Linked DNA regions of Saccharomyces cerevisiae S288C. The gene in region 1 interacts genetically with each later gene. Each region holds a gene or a part of one and is shown on either strand. Other genes may lie near its edges. The genes, in order: HEL2 and YBR196C-A.

Evidence for each region.
Region 2: mutations in HEL2 (region 1) and YBR196C-A together harm fitness more than expected from each alone (negative genetic interaction), as found in Saccharomyces cerevisiae (one large-scale study listed by BioGRID).

Annotation. Positions count from the first base shown.
Region 1 is NC_001136.10:997,640-1,007,374, forward strand, and holds HEL2 (E3 ubiquitin-protein ligase HEL2), read right to left. Parts: upstream 4,385-9,735; coding exon 2,465-4,384; downstream 1-2,464. Other genes in the region: palmitoyltransferase AKR1, read right to left, coding at 1-684; PEX10 (ubiquitin-protein ligase peroxin 10), read left to right, coding at 1,225-2,238; iron-sulfur cluster assembly protein CIA1, read right to left, coding at 4,871-5,863; tryptophan--tRNA ligase MSW1, read left to right, coding at 6,365-7,504; Cu(2+)-transporting P-type ATPase CCC2, read left to right, coding at 8,036-9,735. UniProt on the Saccharomyces cerevisiae protein: E3 ubiquitin-protein ligase that plays a key role in the ribosome quality control (RQC), a pathway that takes place when a ribosome has stalled during translation, leading to degradation of nascent peptide chains.
Region 2 is NC_001134.8:610,237-618,206, reverse strand, and holds YBR196C-A (uncharacterized protein), read left to right. Parts: upstream 1-4,033; coding exon 4,034-4,183; downstream 4,184-7,970. Other genes in the region: TAF5 (chromatin modification protein), read left to right, coding at 1-2,080; YBR197C (uncharacterized protein), read left to right, coding at 2,351-3,004; YBR196C-B (uncharacterized protein), read left to right, coding at 3,577-3,681; PGI1 (glucose-6-phosphate isomerase), read left to right, coding at 4,307-5,971; MSI1 (Msi1p), read left to right, coding at 6,325-7,593; AIM4 (Aim4p), read right to left, coding at 7,798-7,970.

The DNA.
Region 1 (9,735 bases):
TAGGGAATCTCCCTGGTAAGCAGCCCATAGTAGTGAAGTTCTGCCCTTTGGGTCTCGGCAATCTATATCTAAAAGACCTTTGCTGACAACGTTGAATAAAACGTATAGAACTAGCATTATATTTGAGCTGTTCACAGATAAGTGTAGTAGATTGAAACCTTGGTCATCGGTCATGGTGGGATCAGCTCCATGCTTAAGCAAAAAATCGACAATGTACACGTACCCATACCTTGCAGCCCAATGTAATGGTGTGGCATGCAAAGCACCAGCCCTTGCATTGACATCAGCGCCTTGTGAAACTAGAAAATCCACTACAGAAAGTCTGTTATTAATACTTGCCCAATGCAAACCAGTGATATGTTCCGTAGAGTCACCGTCGTTATTAACTTCGAGCAACTTTCCATGTATCATTTCTTTGACAGTCGCTAGATCACCTCTTTGGCAAGCGGTATGGTAGCGAGTTAACAGAGGATCTTCTTCGGCCTCATCATTATGATTCACCTGCTCGTTCCCGCTTTCCTCTTCATTTCCTGATCGGATAGCCTTTAATGATGCCAACGAAGTAATTTCGTTAGAATCACCCAGACTAATATCTTCCTGTGAGTCGTTATTGCTAGGATCAACCGTTTGCTCTTCATTCGTCAAGGTCGACGCCCGTGGCACATTCTCTAATTCGTTCACCATCAATTAGCTACTCTGAACAAAGAAGTGTTTTTTTATCTAGACGAAACGGAAATGATATATTCTACTTCGTGGTTTGTAATCTACTAATCGACCGTATATATTCCTCGCTTGCACTTGTGTCTGTACATTACTTCGTTTTATAGATCGTTCAATATGAGGGTGTAATAAGAAAGTACGAAACAATGGGCTGGCTTTATCACCCGGAGTGTAGGGTACGGATGTTTGTGATCAGAGTAACCCAATGCTAAAAGTCGTTCGGAGGAATAAGCAGCAAAACGTGAATTGATAATATTATAGGAGCCAAAGTTCTAACAATGATAACGTCTCAACAGCTACATGAGCTGTCCATATGTGCATCTTCTTGCAAGTAATCAGCCGGTTTTATCACAATTTTTACCCACCGTGATAATCTGAGAGGGCGAAGTAGGTATTAGCCGTTTACATTAGAAAAATAAGGTAGTGGTAATAAAGCACACTACACATCGAAGAAAGAAACAGACACTACTACATCGGTGGGGGGTCATACAATAGAGGACCAAAATGAAGAATGATAATAAGTTGCAAAAGGAAGCACTTATGCGACTATCGCAGCTAAGATTTCCATTTGCCGATGCTCCAAGTATAGTACAAGCGCATCAAAAAGATGAACAAATCCAGGGCCTTTTGATTATGAAAGTGACTGAATTGTGCAAATTGATAAAGAGTCAATTGTTTGTTAACTCTTACCCTAAGGAACTGTCCATATTTGCCAAGCTCCTGTATTTGCTCTTTACTACAGGAAGACGTGGTAGAACGTTAGGTGAGGAATATGTTGACTTGACATACACTAATAGGAAGGGTACCAGACTTGCAGGACGGCTCAAAATGATTGTATTCGCTTTCGCTTATCCTTTATGTCCATATTTCATCACCAAACTATACAAGAAAATAATGAAGAACAACAAGGAAAGTAAAATTGAAGATACTGAAAGTGTTGCCGCGTTTTGTAAGGGCCTTTTAGATTTCATTTTAGACGTACACATGACCCTCTTTTATTTCAAAGGAGCTTTTTACAGTATTTCCAAAAGGATTTTTGGTATGAGATATGTTTTTAAACATATATTGTCAAAAAATGAGGCCAATTTTAGAGAAGAGGGCTCACAAAAGTACAAAGTATTAGGTTATATCCTATTAGCTCAAAATGTTATGAAATGGTACCCTGTCCTAACCTCTACGCTCGGGTCCTGGATTTATGGGAGAAAAAGGACCAATGATTCAATTACTAGGTCGTCTGTTGGTCTACAGGAGCGTTCAGAACATGAATCTATAGAAGGCATACCGAAGGAATCGCAGCTGACTCATATAAATTTGTCAGATAAAAACCAATTGCCATTTATTCCAGAAGCCTCGAGAAAATGCATCCTATGTCTCATGAACATGAGTGATCCTAGCTGCGCGCCATGTGGACATCTATTTTGTTGGAGTTGTCTTATGAGCTGGTGTAAAGAGAGGCCAGAATGCCCCTTGTGCAGACAACACTGTCAACCACAGGAAATTCTGGTCCTGCGGCAATAGAGGAACTAATCAATAATTTGACTACTCTTTTAGCATTGTCCACAGGCCTTTTTCAGAAATAACGCAGACGTCTGAGCAGGAGAAGTAAAACGCGAAGGGGAAATAATGCTTTTTAGTCTTGTAATTATATTAATTAATTAAATAAGTTTTTCTTTATCGGAATTTTATTTAAGACTTTCATTTCTCTAATGCTATTGTCAGTTACAGGTTAGAAATATATTTCCAACTATACACCAATGTGGAATAACAGCTGCTTTTGTTTGCCTTTCTTTTTATTTCCTCCACTAGTTGTGTTCAATTCCCTCAAATTATCGTGCACGTTAGTATCTTGTGTGCTTGACTTTTTACCCCACTGCTTAGGATCAGCAATTTGGGGTCTGTTCAGACCTGGAATTTGCACCTTTGGCTTTGGTGGAGGTAGTTGAGGTAGGTTGAGACTTTTCAATTTATCTTTGCTATTATTTAGAGAAGTAGAAGAGGAACCCTTTTTACTTTCCAAATAGGTTGGAGAGAAGGCGACTGTATTAGTGGAAGTTCGATAACTAACTGATTGAGGTGTAGTTCTTTTAATGTTTTGCACGGGTCTCAGAGTGTTTTTTTTTACGGTGGTTGCAAAGGGATCATACGACGCTGAAGGACTTTTCAGGGTTGGAAGATTTTTGATATTCCTAACGCCTAATGCTGCACCAGCGCTGCCCCCATCGTTTGTTCCACCCCAATGGCCCCTGCCTATTGACATTGAAAGGGAAGAATCACTAGATAAAGAAGGTAGTGAAGTTTGTCGTGCAAGGGTTTGCTCTCTTTGTTCATATATGGCGTTCAGATTATTGTATTTGGAGGAGTTTTTGGGAAAGGTTTCAGCTAAGTTATGAATCAATAAATATACATCCGCATTTGGTTTTGTGAATAACAATTTATATGATTCCAATAATTTTTCAGCACTTAAGCGACCTTTAGAATAATCTTCGTTATAAGAAGAAAACTTATTGAAGTCTTCTTTGGAATTTTCCAGATAGTATTTTGCTCTTTCTGCCAATCTTAGTCTACTTTCCTCGGGAGAACTAGCAGATCTCACATCAGTTCTAGAGCCGGATGATGAACCCGGTAGGGAAGATATAGATGGAAGGTCGTAATCATCTCTTTCCCTGATCACTCTAGATGGAGCCGAGATAAAAGTAGAAAGTTCTGACTGGAAAAACTTTGGCTTTCCCTTCAGGATATTACCATGCTCCTGCAAAATGTGGGCTTGTAACTCCAACTCGTCTTTAAATACGACAAACTTGTTATCTAAGCAAGTTTGGACGGTGCAAACGTAATGCGAATGTTTAAAGTGGTCAAAAAGCTGATTATAATCCTTAAAGTATTGAGGAGAAGCGGGGTTCATCTTATCACAAATATGGCACTTTTCATGCTGATTTCTCATGTGAATGTACAATTCGTCGTCTGAATAAAATCGTTTTCCGGAACAGAAGGCACACATAGGGTGGCCTTTGAATCCTTCTGAATTACCCTTAGTTTGATGGTTGCGTAATTGATTTTGGGTGAATATTTCAAGCTCACAAGGGAATGCATGCTTATGGGTTGCACATATTAAACAGATCATTCTGTTATGTTCAGATTTCAAGTGTTCATTATATTTCTTGAAACTACCAAAGTCACAAACTTGTTCATCCTTCGATAGGGGACAAAAAAATTTTAAAAGATTTAGTGTTTCGGTAGCAACCTCTTCGCTAGTGAAATTTATTCCATATTTTTCATTTTTTTCGCAAAAGTTATATTTATCTGAAATATCACCATCTATGCGATCGGTAAACATGACTTCTTCATTCTCCGTTCTGCAAATCAAACAGCTTTTCTTGTTGTACAAAGCTCGTTGTCTGAAACCACAGATATGGCATGTCTTATGATGGCATGGTGTTAGAGATACGTATGTTAACTTGCGCGCACAAATTACACATAATTCATTTTCTTCATCAGTATCATCTGCGCTTGAAGTGGTGAGGTTGGGTTCAGCAGAAAGGTTATTTTTCTTTTGCTTTCTTCTGAAATTCTTCCTGTCGTTGTGAGGTTTTGTATTATTTTGGGGCCCTTGAGTACGACGGAAGTTACGTGTCGGAGTAACGTTTTCTTTCACTGATTCGCTCATCCTAATTCTTGAAAAGAAGTATAGCCACTATTTTTTCGACGAAAGAGACTGTATCAAAATGCACTTTATGGATCTTTTTCAGCTAGGTATGCGCTCGACGATTTGTTGAATATGGCTGAGTGGGCAGTCGTTCAGATGCCCTTTTCAAAATCTTAAGAGAAAATCAGAAAATATAGCTATTATTAAGAGTGACCGCGAGTATGAAACTTTCAGTGTAACCTTTCTTTATTCGAGATAATGCTTAATTACAAGTCTTCCGAATATCTAATTTTTTTTTTTTTCATTTTTAAATTTCAGTTTTTACCGCATGCTTTTAATGCAGGGATATGTATAACGAGGTCACTCCGTCACACATGACAGAATTGCGTTATAGTGATACAAAGGTTTATGTAACTAGGTAGAAAAATCGTCATTAAGTTTATTTTTAGAATTCAGATCGATCACTGTGTTAATATGAGTTCCTGAATTGTACTCTTGCTTCTACATCTACGCTGCTTTTTCTAGAGACCAGAAATTTACGATCCCGTCGTCACCGCCTGTTGCAAGTATAGTTTTACCATTTAACTCCAACCACTTCACAACGTTGATTTCATAAACTCCATGACATAATGCACGTTTAGCAAAAACTTTCCATTCTCCGTCTACTTCTTCATAGACCGCTAGTACTCCATCCGCTCCTACACTAGCAATGAGGCCATTAAAGCCCCATGCAACATTGTATACCTGTCTTTTGTGTACATCCGGGAGAATAGCTTCACAAACCCATTCTTGTTGATCATCCTCGTCGTCACCCATGTATTTCCATACCCGTACAGTGGAATCGTCGCTTCCACTGCACAGTCTAAACACGCCCTCAGTCTTGTCAAAATCAGAAGACCAAACAGTTCCTTCATGGCCATTTAAGACAGCAACACATTCCCAGTCATCGTCATAGTCTTTCCATATCCTGACGGTGTCATCATAAGAACTTGAAGCCAGTAATGCTTCAGATGGATGCCATATAACATGTTTAACGTCTTGTGAATGTTCTTGCAAAACACTAATACACTCATATTCCTCGCCACTTTCATCTGTTTCCCATATCCACACGCTTTTATCTCTGGAACAGGTTGCTAGGTAATATCCATCATTCGACCACGCTACACCTTTTACTTCATTTTCGTGACCTTCGATAATAGCTAGCAGGTCCATCTCGAAAGTTCTGTCAGCAGATTCTTCCTTAGCCCAGATAGATACAGTGGAATCAAAAGAGCCAGCCGCTAACAGCGAAGTGTGAGGTCTCCACGCCACAGATCGAATCGCCTTTTTATGAGCAGTCTCATCTAGCACATCAATTAACGTAAAATCGTCATATTTCACGCTAACTAGCTTAATTTTTCGATCAGTTGAACCTGTTGCTAATATACCTTGAGAAAAGTCAAAAGACCATATCTTTTCCTTGTAAAGTTTCAAAGACTTAATCAGATTGATAGACGCCATTACCAAATAAGTAAACCAATTGAACTATTAAAATGTCGTGGTATAGCCCGATTTTGATTTGTGATATCTACAAATCTAGTATTTATTCGCAATTAATGAGGCAAAGACGATACAATATTCGATGTGAGATTTTTCAAAACACGGCCCGCTGAGAGCAGAAAGTTTTAGATGACCTATTTGAAGGCAATCACGATGGTATTTTTCAAGAAAATAAATAGTAGTAACACTGCTATGCACATCAGAGTCAGATTCCTTAAATTCAAACGTTTCTACAATTAGTATGACCTTTTCTTGAAGATCTTTTTCTCCTTATAAAGGCAACACAAAACAAGATAGAAGTGCAAAGGTATTTTTTGTTTTTCACGTGATAAAATCGGCTTCGAGAAAGTAGAAAAGGGTATTATGATTTATTACAGGCTACCTGCACCATCTCAAAGGTTTTACGTTACTAAGGAGTGAATCAGGTTTTGATAAATATTTACACTATCTTTTACAAGGAAGATGTCGAATAAGCAGGCGGTTCTGAAGTTAATCAGTAAAAGGTGGATAAGCACAGTGCAACGTGCCGATTTTAAGCTGAATTCCGAAGCGCTTCATAGTAATGCTACGGTATTTAGTATGATTCAGCCAACTGGGTGTTTCCACCTTGGTAATTATCTAGGTGCTACACGTGTTTGGACAGACTTATGTGAATTAAAACAACCTGGCCAGGAATTGATATTTGGAGTTGCTGATTTACACGCTATCACTGTTCCAAAGCCAGATGGAGAAATGTTTAGAAAATTTCGCCATGAGGCAGTAGCAAGTATACTGGCTGTCGGTGTAGATCCAGAAAAGGCTTCGGTGATCTACCAATCCGCCATCCCTCAACACAGTGAATTACACTGGTTGCTTTCTACTCTTGCCTCGATGGGATTACTTAACCGCATGACGCAATGGAAATCAAAATCGAATATCAAACAATCAACTAATGGGGATTATCTGGTTAACGATTCTGACGTGGGAAAAGTTAGACTGGGCTTATTTTCGTATCCTGTTTTACAGGCAGCGGATATTCTACTTTATAAATCTACACACGTTCCTGTTGGCGATGATCAATCGCAGCATTTGGAACTAACAAGACACCTTGCTGAAAAGTTTAACAAAATGTACAAGAAAAATTTTTTTCCTAAACCTGTAACTATGTTGGCACAAACGAAAAAAGTTTTGAGCTTAAGCACGCCTGAAAAGAAAATGTCCAAGAGTGATCCGAATCACGACTCTGTAATTTTTTTGAATGATGAGCCTAAGGCAATTCAGAAAAAGATTAGAAAAGCTTTAACAGATTCCATTTCTGATAGGTTCTACTACGACCCTGTAGAAAGACCAGGCGTATCGAATTTAATTAACATTGTCAGTGGCATTCAAAGAAAATCGATTGAAGATGTCGTAGAAGATGTATCTCGTTTCAATAACTATAGGGATTTCAAAGATTATGTTTCAGAAGTGATAATTGAGGAATTGAAAGGCCCAAGAACAGAATTTGAGAAATATATCAACGAACCGACCTATTTGCATAGTGTCGTTGAATCTGGCATGCGCAAAGCGAGAGAAAAAGCAGCAAAAAACCTGGCCGACATTCATAAAATAATGGGCTTCTGACTGTCCCCGGCTTTAGGCTGCTGCAAACGCAATGTAAATAATAATACAGTTTAACTTGTACGTATCTTTGTTATTTCAGAATATGCAAGATTCCTCACTCGGCAGATCTCATCAATAAACGTTAGTATCTTGAAAAATACGCAGATGTTGGTACAGTCTCTTGCAGAGGGCCAGCACCGTTAGAATGTTGTGTTGCCACCGTCTGGCTCGAAAACAGGTCGATCTGTGTAAGTATTGTCCTGGGTGCAGTTATTTGTAGTAGCGATTTTCGCGGGCAGTGGAAAAGAACGGGTGCAGTGCGGCGATGAGTGCAATTAGCTGCCGAAGGGTTTGCACCGGTGATTCCGAGACCTTTTGCACACACTTGTATATATTTAGGGAAGTCACGGTAACTAATGGATTTCTTCTCAAATTTGAGACATATGGATTAGACTTTAATTCTGCCTGGTACTAAGCTACTTTTCAAAGGTATTTGAGATATTTCGTAAATTTTGCGGCCAAGGAGTTGAGGTGTTTAATACTTAAAACGAAATGAGAGAAGTGATACTTGCTGTACATGGAATGACATGCAGCGCCTGTACTAATACAATCAATACGCAGTTACGAGCTTTAAAGGGTGTAACAAAATGTGATATTAGTTTAGTGACTAATGAGTGCCAGGTGACATACGATAACGAGGTTACCGCCGATTCTATTAAGGAAATTATAGAGGATTGTGGATTTGACTGTGAGATACTAAGAGATTCTGAAATTACAGCCATAAGTACGAAGGAAGGACTACTGAGTGTACAAGGTATGACCTGTGGGTCTTGTGTTTCTACAGTCACCAAACAAGTGGAAGGCATTGAGGGTGTTGAATCGGTAGTCGTTTCCTTGGTAACGGAAGAGTGCCATGTTATTTATGAACCGTCCAAGACAACGCTAGAAACCGCCAGAGAAATGATTGAAGACTGTGGATTTGACTCAAATATTATTATGGATGGCAACGGGAATGCAGACATGACCGAAAAAACGGTGATCTTGAAAGTAACTAAGGCTTTCGAGGACGAATCCCCACTCATACTTTCTTCAGTAAGCGAAAGGTTTCAATTTTTGTTAGACCTAGGTGTAAAATCGATAGAAATTTCTGATGATATGCACACACTCACCATAAAATACTGTTGTAACGAACTCGGCATTAGAGATTTATTGAGGCACCTTGAGAGGACCGGATATAAATTCACTGTATTTTCCAATTTAGATAATACTACCCAGTTAAGGCTTCTCTCTAAAGAGGACGAGATAAGATTCTGGAAAAAAAACAGCATAAAATCCACCCTTTTGGCTATAATATGTATGCTATTGTATATGATTGTCCCTATGATGTGGCCAACAATTGTTCAGGACCGCATATTCCCTTACAAAGAAACCTCCTTTGTTAGAGGTCTGTTCTACAGAGATATTTTGGGTGTAATATTGGCAAGCTATATTCAGTTCAGCGTTGGTTTTTACTTTTACAAGGCAGCATGGGCATCTTTAAAGCACGGTTCAGGAACCATGGATACACTAGTTTGTGTTTCCACTACTTGTGCATACACATTTTCTGTGTTTTCTTTAGTTCACAATATGTTCCATCCCTCAAGTACTGGCAAACTCCCAAGGATCGTTTTCGACACATCAATCATGATCATTTCATATATTTCCATCGGGAAATATTTGGAAACTTTAGCTAAATCACAAACATCAACCGCACTTTCTAAATTAATTCAGCTCACTCCATCGGTGTGTTCAATTATATCTGACGTGGAGCGGAATGAAACCAAGGAAATTCCCATAGAATTATTGCAAGTGAACGATATAGTGGAGATTAAACCAGGGATGAAAATTCCTGCTGATGGCATCATAACAAGAGGTGAATCTGAAATTGACGAGTCGTTAATGACAGGCGAATCCATTTTGGTGCCCAAGAAAACTGGTTTTCCGGTTATTGCTGGTTCTGTTAATGGACCTGGACATTTCTACTTCAGAACTACTACCGTTGGGGAGGAAACTAAATTAGCAAATATTATCAAGGTAATGAAAGAAGCACAATTGAGTAAAGCTCCCATTCAGGGGTATGCAGATTATTTAGCCTCTATTTTTGTTCCGGGGATCCTAATTTTGGCAGTATTGACTTTCTTTATTTGGTGTTTTATTTTAAACATCTCGGCTAATCCTCCCGTCGCTTTCACCGCAAATACTAAGGCTGATAA
Region 2 (7,970 bases), on another chromosome or scaffold:
ACAATCATCAATTCCTCCGAACCCCGGGAAGACAGCTAAACCCATAAGCAATCCAACTAATTTGTCATCCAAGAGAGATGCAGAAGGTGGTATAGTATCTAGCGGGCGACTAGAAGGGCTCAACGCACCTGAAAATTATATACGTGCATATTCAATGTTGAAAAACTGGGTAGATTCGTCGCTGGAAATTTACAAGCCGGAACTAAGCTACATCATGTACCCAATATTCATTTATTTATTTTTAAATTTGGTGGCCAAAAATCCTGTTTACGCCCGTCGTTTCTTTGATAGATTTTCTCCCGATTTTAAGGACTTCCATGGCTCAGAAATTAATAGACTTTTCAGTGTCAATTCTATAGATCACATCAAGGAAAATGAGGTCGCAAGTGCTTTCCAATCTCACAAGTACAGAATTACTATGTCTAAAACCACTTTAAATCTTCTCTTATATTTTTTGAATGAAAATGAGAGTATTGGAGGTTCATTAATAATTAGTGTAATAAATCAGCACCTAGATCCAAATATTGTAGAATCAGTAACCGCAAGGGAAAAATTGGCTGATGGAATAAAAGTTCTCAGTGATAGTGAAAACGGAAATGGTAAACAAAATTTAGAAATGAATTCTGTTCCTGTCAAGCTGGGACCTTTCCCAAAAGACGAGGAGTTTGTTAAGGAGATTGAAACTGAATTGAAAATTAAGGATGATCAAGAGAAACAACTAAATCAACAAACTGCAGGTGACAATTACAGTGGAGCCAACAATAGAACCTTATTGCAAGAATATAAAGCTATGAATAACGAAAAATTTAAGGATAATACTGGCGACGATGATAAAGACAAAATTAAAGATAAAATCGCCAAAGATGAGGAAAAAAAAGAGAGCGAATTGAAGGTGGATGGTGAAAAAAAAGACAGCAATTTATCTTCGCCAGCACGTGATATTTTACCTTTACCACCAAAGACGGCACTAGATTTGAAGTTGGAGATTCAGAAGGTCAAGGAATCTCGTGATGCCATCAAACTAGATAATTTACAGTTGGCCTTACCAAGCGTGTGCATGTATACATTCCAAAACACAAATAAAGACATGTCATGTTTAGATTTCAGTGATGATTGTAGGATAGCGGCTGCTGGCTTTCAAGACAGTTATATCAAGATCTGGTCACTCGACGGCTCATCACTTAATAATCCTAACATCGCGTTAAATAACAACGACAAGGATGAAGACCCAACGTGTAAAACTTTGGTGGGGCACAGTGGTACAGTATATTCAACAAGTTTCAGTCCGGATAATAAGTATTTACTTTCTGGTTCTGAAGATAAAACCGTCAGGCTATGGTCCATGGATACTCACACCGCGCTAGTAAGCTATAAGGGCCATAATCACCCTGTGTGGGATGTTAGTTTCTCCCCGCTAGGCCATTATTTCGCCACTGCATCGCACGACCAAACCGCAAGGTTATGGTCATGCGATCACATATATCCATTAAGAATATTTGCAGGACATTTAAATGATGTTGATTGTGTGTCATTTCATCCGAACGGTTGCTATGTGTTTACGGGATCCAGCGATAAGACGTGTCGAATGTGGGACGTTTCTACAGGCGACTCGGTTAGGTTATTTCTTGGACATACTGCGCCCGTCATTTCTATTGCTGTTTGTCCAGATGGTAGGTGGTTGTCCACTGGTAGCGAAGATGGTATTATTAATGTATGGGATATTGGTACCGGCAAAAGGTTGAAACAAATGCGTGGCCATGGTAAGAATGCCATTTATTCCTTATCATATAGCAAAGAGGGAAACGTACTTATTAGTGGAGGTGCCGATCATACAGTCCGTGTATGGGATTTGAAAAAGGCCACTACTGAGCCAAGCGCAGAACCAGATGAGCCATTCATTGGATACTTGGGTGACGTTACTGCATCTATAAACCAAGATATAAAAGAATATGGTCGCAGAAGAACAGTAATACCTACAAGCGATTTAGTAGCGTCGTTCTACACCAAAAAGACGCCTGTTTTTAAGGTCAAGTTCAGCAGAAGCAATTTAGCCCTTGCAGGAGGTGCTTTCAGGCCATAATTCACACTGAAAAAAATAACAGCATGGAAGTGATATGTAATAAGTATAACCTAATCCGATATGTAACTATTAGATGCTTTTTCGACATCGTACTTGACCTGCTCGGCGGTTATCATAGCGTCTTCTTTAGCCTTTTTTTTTTCGCTCAGTCATCGGGGCCAAAACAAGAAAGGCGAAGAACAGAAAAATGAAAAATGTAACTGGTTGTTGTAAAAACCTTCCAGAGAAATAAGATGAAATGTATGTTGCTGGCACGAACGAAGACAAATAATGGGAGTGAAGCAAACCCCACCAGTCCAGGTGAAAGTAAGCGACGCGGATTCCACCAACAGAAGGAAATCTAGTAGCCAGGAAGGAAACCCTCAGCTGGTTCAATTAAAGGCAAAGAGCGACAAAGATAAAAGAAAGGGATCTTCAGATTCCACTGCCTCTATAATGGGCAGTTCCAACGCACTTCCGACCAAAAACCTAACCACGCCTCCAGCACTAAACCCCTTAACGACCAGCATTAGTAGGGGTAATACTGCATACGAAAGAAGCGTAAATGGTAGCCGTATAACAATGCACTCAAACCTGGCACCTACGGAGACGCAAGACGTATCATGGTCTGAAATCGATACACTGGATGATGTGAAGAAGATGGCGAAAGAACCTATCGTCAACGACGGGTTCCCACGAGATTTTGAGAGCAATCTCACGCAAATGCGCAAGTCGCACGCTCAACTACTGCGATTAATGAGGGAAAGAAATCAGCGACTAAAGTATGCCAAGCTGAGGAGCCCTCCTCATAAGGATCAGCATAATTCTGCCACGAATAAAGATCAAGAACCAGACGAGGTATTGCATGACCCGGAAATCGCACTTGACGGTGAGAAGTACGTGAGCCAAGTTGTCGATACTATTAAAGATGTTCACCGATGCTGATGACATGTATGGGTTGAAAATATTTAGAGGATGCTAAAAGTCCCGTCTAAAATAGAGGAAGTCATGGATTACATTATCACCTTTATTGTCCTGTTCCGTCTGGCTAATTTGGGACGAGGAACGTTTGTCTCCATTCGCAACCTTTTGAAACCATATGAACGGCGGCTAATCTGACAGATGTCTTATATTTCTAGGATTGTAGAAAGCCTCCTCATCAAACCACCTTGTTTGAAAAAGGCACTAGTGCGGTTGCTTTACTTGATCTAGTATTCTCCTACCTTGGAGCGGTCCCATATCAACTAAATTCAGTTTTCTGACTGAGTTAAAAACTAATGTAGCGACACCACTTCCATTGGTGCCTCCGTTATTTTTTTTTTGTATGTTAATGCTAAATAATACACCGCTATGTATTTCAGGGCACTACTTCTACACATCAACGGTACTAAACATTTCGCTCAAGATCGGTCCGCTTTCACGTATTTGGATGCTATGCAATGTTGACTATTCTTAGTGGATAACATGCGGCATTTCCTGGCGGCTATTTGCATCGCTATGTAAGTGGCAATGTTCGGATGTGGGTAGTACTTTCAAAAGAAAAAATATTACTGAAGAAGGCATACTACGCCAAGACTATTTTATTCTCAGCACTTGTCCTACGTGGGGTTAGAGGCGAGTAAGACTTTGGCCCCGCTGCGGAAGCAAAGAGAATTTTGCCATCGGACATGCTACCTTACGCTTATATCTCTCATTGGAATATCGTTTTCTGATTAAAACACGGAAGTAAGAACTTAATTCGTTTTTCGTTGAACTATGTTGTGCCAGCGTAACATTAAAAAAGAGTGTACAAGGCCACGTTCTGTCACCGTCAGAAAAATATGTCAATGAGGCAAGAACCGGGATGGTAACAAAAATCACGATCTGGGTGGGTGTGGGTGTATTGGATTATAGGAAGCCACGCGCTCAACCTGGAATTACAGGAAGCTGGTAATTTTTTGGGTTTGCAATCATCACCATCTGCACGTTGTTATAATGTCCCGTGTCTATATATATCCATTGACGGTATTCTATTTTTTTGCTATTGAAATGAGCGTTTTTTGTTACTACAATTGGTTTTACAGACGGAATTTTCCCTATTTGTTTCGTCCCATTTTTCCTTTTCTCATTGTTCTCATATCTTAAAAAGGTCCTTTCTTCATAATCAATGCTTTCTTTTACTTAATATTTTACTTGCATTCAGTGAATTTTAATACATATTCCTCTAGTCTTGCAAAATCGATTTAGAATCAAGATACCAGCCTAAAAATGTCCAATAACTCATTCACTAACTTCAAACTGGCCACTGAATTGCCAGCCTGGTCTAAGTTGCAAAAAATTTATGAATCTCAAGGTAAGACTTTGTCTGTCAAGCAAGAATTCCAAAAAGATGCCAAGCGTTTTGAAAAATTGAACAAGACTTTCACCAACTATGATGGTTCCAAAATCTTGTTCGACTACTCAAAGAACTTGGTCAACGATGAAATCATTGCTGCATTGATTGAACTGGCCAAGGAGGCTAACGTCACCGGTTTGAGAGATGCTATGTTCAAAGGTGAACACATCAACTCCACTGAAGATCGTGCTGTCTACCACGTCGCATTGAGAAACAGAGCTAACAAGCCAATGTACGTTGATGGTGTCAACGTTGCTCCAGAAGTCGACTCTGTCTTGAAGCACATGAAGGAGTTCTCTGAACAAGTTCGTTCTGGTGAATGGAAGGGTTATACCGGTAAGAAGATCACCGATGTTGTTAACATCGGTATTGGTGGTTCCGATTTGGGTCCAGTCATGGTCACTGAGGCTTTGAAGCACTACGCTGGTGTCTTGGATGTCCACTTCGTTTCCAACATTGACGGTACTCACATTGCTGAAACCTTGAAGGTTGTTGACCCAGAAACTACTTTGTTTTTGATTGCTTCCAAGACTTTCACTACCGCTGAAACTATCACTAACGCTAACACTGCCAAGAACTGGTTCTTGTCGAAGACAGGTAATGATCCATCTCACATTGCTAAGCATTTCGCTGCTTTGTCCACTAACGAAACCGAAGTTGCCAAGTTCGGTATTGACACCAAAAACATGTTTGGTTTCGAAAGTTGGGTCGGTGGTCGTTACTCTGTCTGGTCGGCTATTGGTTTGTCTGTTGCCTTGTACATTGGCTATGACAACTTTGAGGCTTTCTTGAAGGGTGCTGAAGCCGTCGACAACCACTTCACCCAAACCCCATTGGAAGACAACATTCCATTGTTGGGTGGTTTGTTGTCTGTCTGGTACAACAACTTCTTTGGTGCTCAAACCCATTTGGTTGCTCCATTCGACCAATACTTGCACAGATTCCCAGCCTACTTGCAACAATTGTCAATGGAATCTAACGGTAAGTCTGTTACCAGAGGTAACGTGTTTACTGACTACTCTACTGGTTCTATCTTGTTTGGTGAACCAGCTACCAACGCTCAACACTCTTTCTTCCAATTGGTTCACCAAGGTACCAAGTTGATTCCATCTGATTTCATCTTAGCTGCTCAATCTCATAACCCAATTGAGAACAAATTACATCAAAAGATGTTGGCTTCAAACTTCTTTGCTCAAGCTGAAGCTTTAATGGTTGGTAAGGATGAAGAACAAGTTAAGGCTGAAGGTGCCACTGGTGGTTTGGTCCCACACAAGGTCTTCTCAGGTAACAGACCAACTACCTCTATCTTGGCTCAAAAGATTACTCCAGCTACTTTGGGTGCTTTGATTGCCTACTACGAACATGTTACTTTCACTGAAGGTGCCATTTGGAATATCAACTCTTTCGACCAATGGGGTGTTGAATTGGGTAAAGTCTTGGCTAAAGTCATCGGCAAGGAATTGGACAACTCCTCCACCATTTCTACCCACGATGCTTCTACCAACGGTTTAATCAATCAATTCAAGGAATGGATGTGAACAAATCGCTCTTAAATATATACCTAAAGAACATTAAAGCTATATTATAAGCAAAGATACGTAAATTTTGCTTATATTATTATACACATATCATATTTCTATATTTTTAAGATTTGGTTATATAATGTACGTAATGCAAAGGAAATAAATTTTATACATTATTGAACAGCGTCCAAGTAACTACATTATGTGCACTAATAGTTTAGCGTCGTGAAGACTTTATTGTGTCGCGAAAAGTAAAAATTTTAAAAATTAGAGCACCTTGAACTTGCGAAAAAGGTTCTCATCAACTGTTTAAAAGGAGGATATCAGGTCCTATTTCTGACAAACAATATACAAATTTAGTTTCAAAGATGAATCAGTGCGCGAAGGACATAACTCATGAAGCCTCCAGTATACCCATCGATTTGCAAGAAAGATACTCGCACTGGAAGAAAAACACTAAACTACTTTATGATTACCTAAACACGAATTCAACAAAGTGGCCGTCCTTAACGTGCCAGTTCTTTCCTGATTTAGATACCACTTCGGATGAGCATCGCATCTTGTTATCCTCATTTACATCTTCCCAAAAACCTGAAGATGAGACCATATATATTAGCAAAATATCCACGTTGGGTCATATAAAATGGTCATCTTTAAATAATTTCGACATGGACGAAATGGAATTCAAACCGGAGAACTCGACAAGGTTTCCCTCCAAACACTTAGTAAATGACATCAGTATTTTCTTCCCAAACGGGGAATGCAATAGGGCAAGATATTTGCCTCAAAATCCAGATATTATAGCCGGCGCCTCTTCAGATGGTGCAATCTACATATTCGATAGAACAAAACACGGCTCTACTAGAATAAGACAGTCCAAAATTTCACATCCCTTTGAGACAAAGCTGTTTGGTTCACATGGTGTTATTCAAGACGTGGAGGCAATGGATACTTCTTCGGCAGATATAAATGAGGCGACTTCTTTAGCCTGGAACTTGCAGCAGGAGGCCCTTTTACTTTCTTCTCACTCCAACGGCCAAGTTCAAGTTTGGGACATTAAACAATATTCGCATGAGAACCCTATAATAGATTTACCCTTAGTGTCAATAAACAGCGACGGAACAGCGGTGAATGATGTAACTTGGATGCCAACACACGATTCCCTCTTTGCTGCTTGTACTGAAGGAAATGCGGTCTCCCTATTAGATCTGAGGACTAAGAAAGAGAAGCTCCAGAGTAACCGTGAAAAACACGATGGTGGAGTAAACTCCTGTAGATTTAACTATAAGAACTCTTTAATTCTAGCATCTGCAGATTCAAATGGGAGGCTAAATTTATGGGATATTAGAAACATGAACAAAAGCCCAATCGCTACCATGGAGCACGGTACTTCCGTTTCAACTTTAGAATGGAGTCCAAATTTCGATACTGTATTGGCAACGGCTGGCCAAGAAGATGGGTTAGTCAAGCTATGGGATACCTCCTGCGAAGAAACTATATTTACCCATGGTGGTCATATGCTCGGTGTGAACGACATTTCGTGGGACGCTCATGACCCTTGGTTAATGTGCAGTGTGGCAAATGATAATTCAGTTCACATATGGAAACCTGCAGGAAACCTTGTTGGACATTCGTGACCTAAACGTTCCTTGAAGCCAGGCATGCTAATGGCTCCTGTCCCTATTACATATTCAACCATTTGATAGACGAATATACAAACATAAATAGAGTTTATAAAATATGCTCAAGACTTGCTACAATAAACACTACGCTCAGACTTCATGCTGATTTCAATATTGTATTTCGAAGAAAGTGGTTGCTCATTTATTACCTTTGAACTTTCACTTTGGTATTTTGATATTCTCGAGGTTTCCCAGTCTGGCTTGAACTTCAGTTCGCCTTTTGAAAGTGGCAGGATTATAAGGTATATTTCTGTAATGTGATGGTGCAGTGCCTCTTGGATTCCAGTCTTTATCGTAAAATATACTTCTTATACCGAGTTCACCGTTCTCTT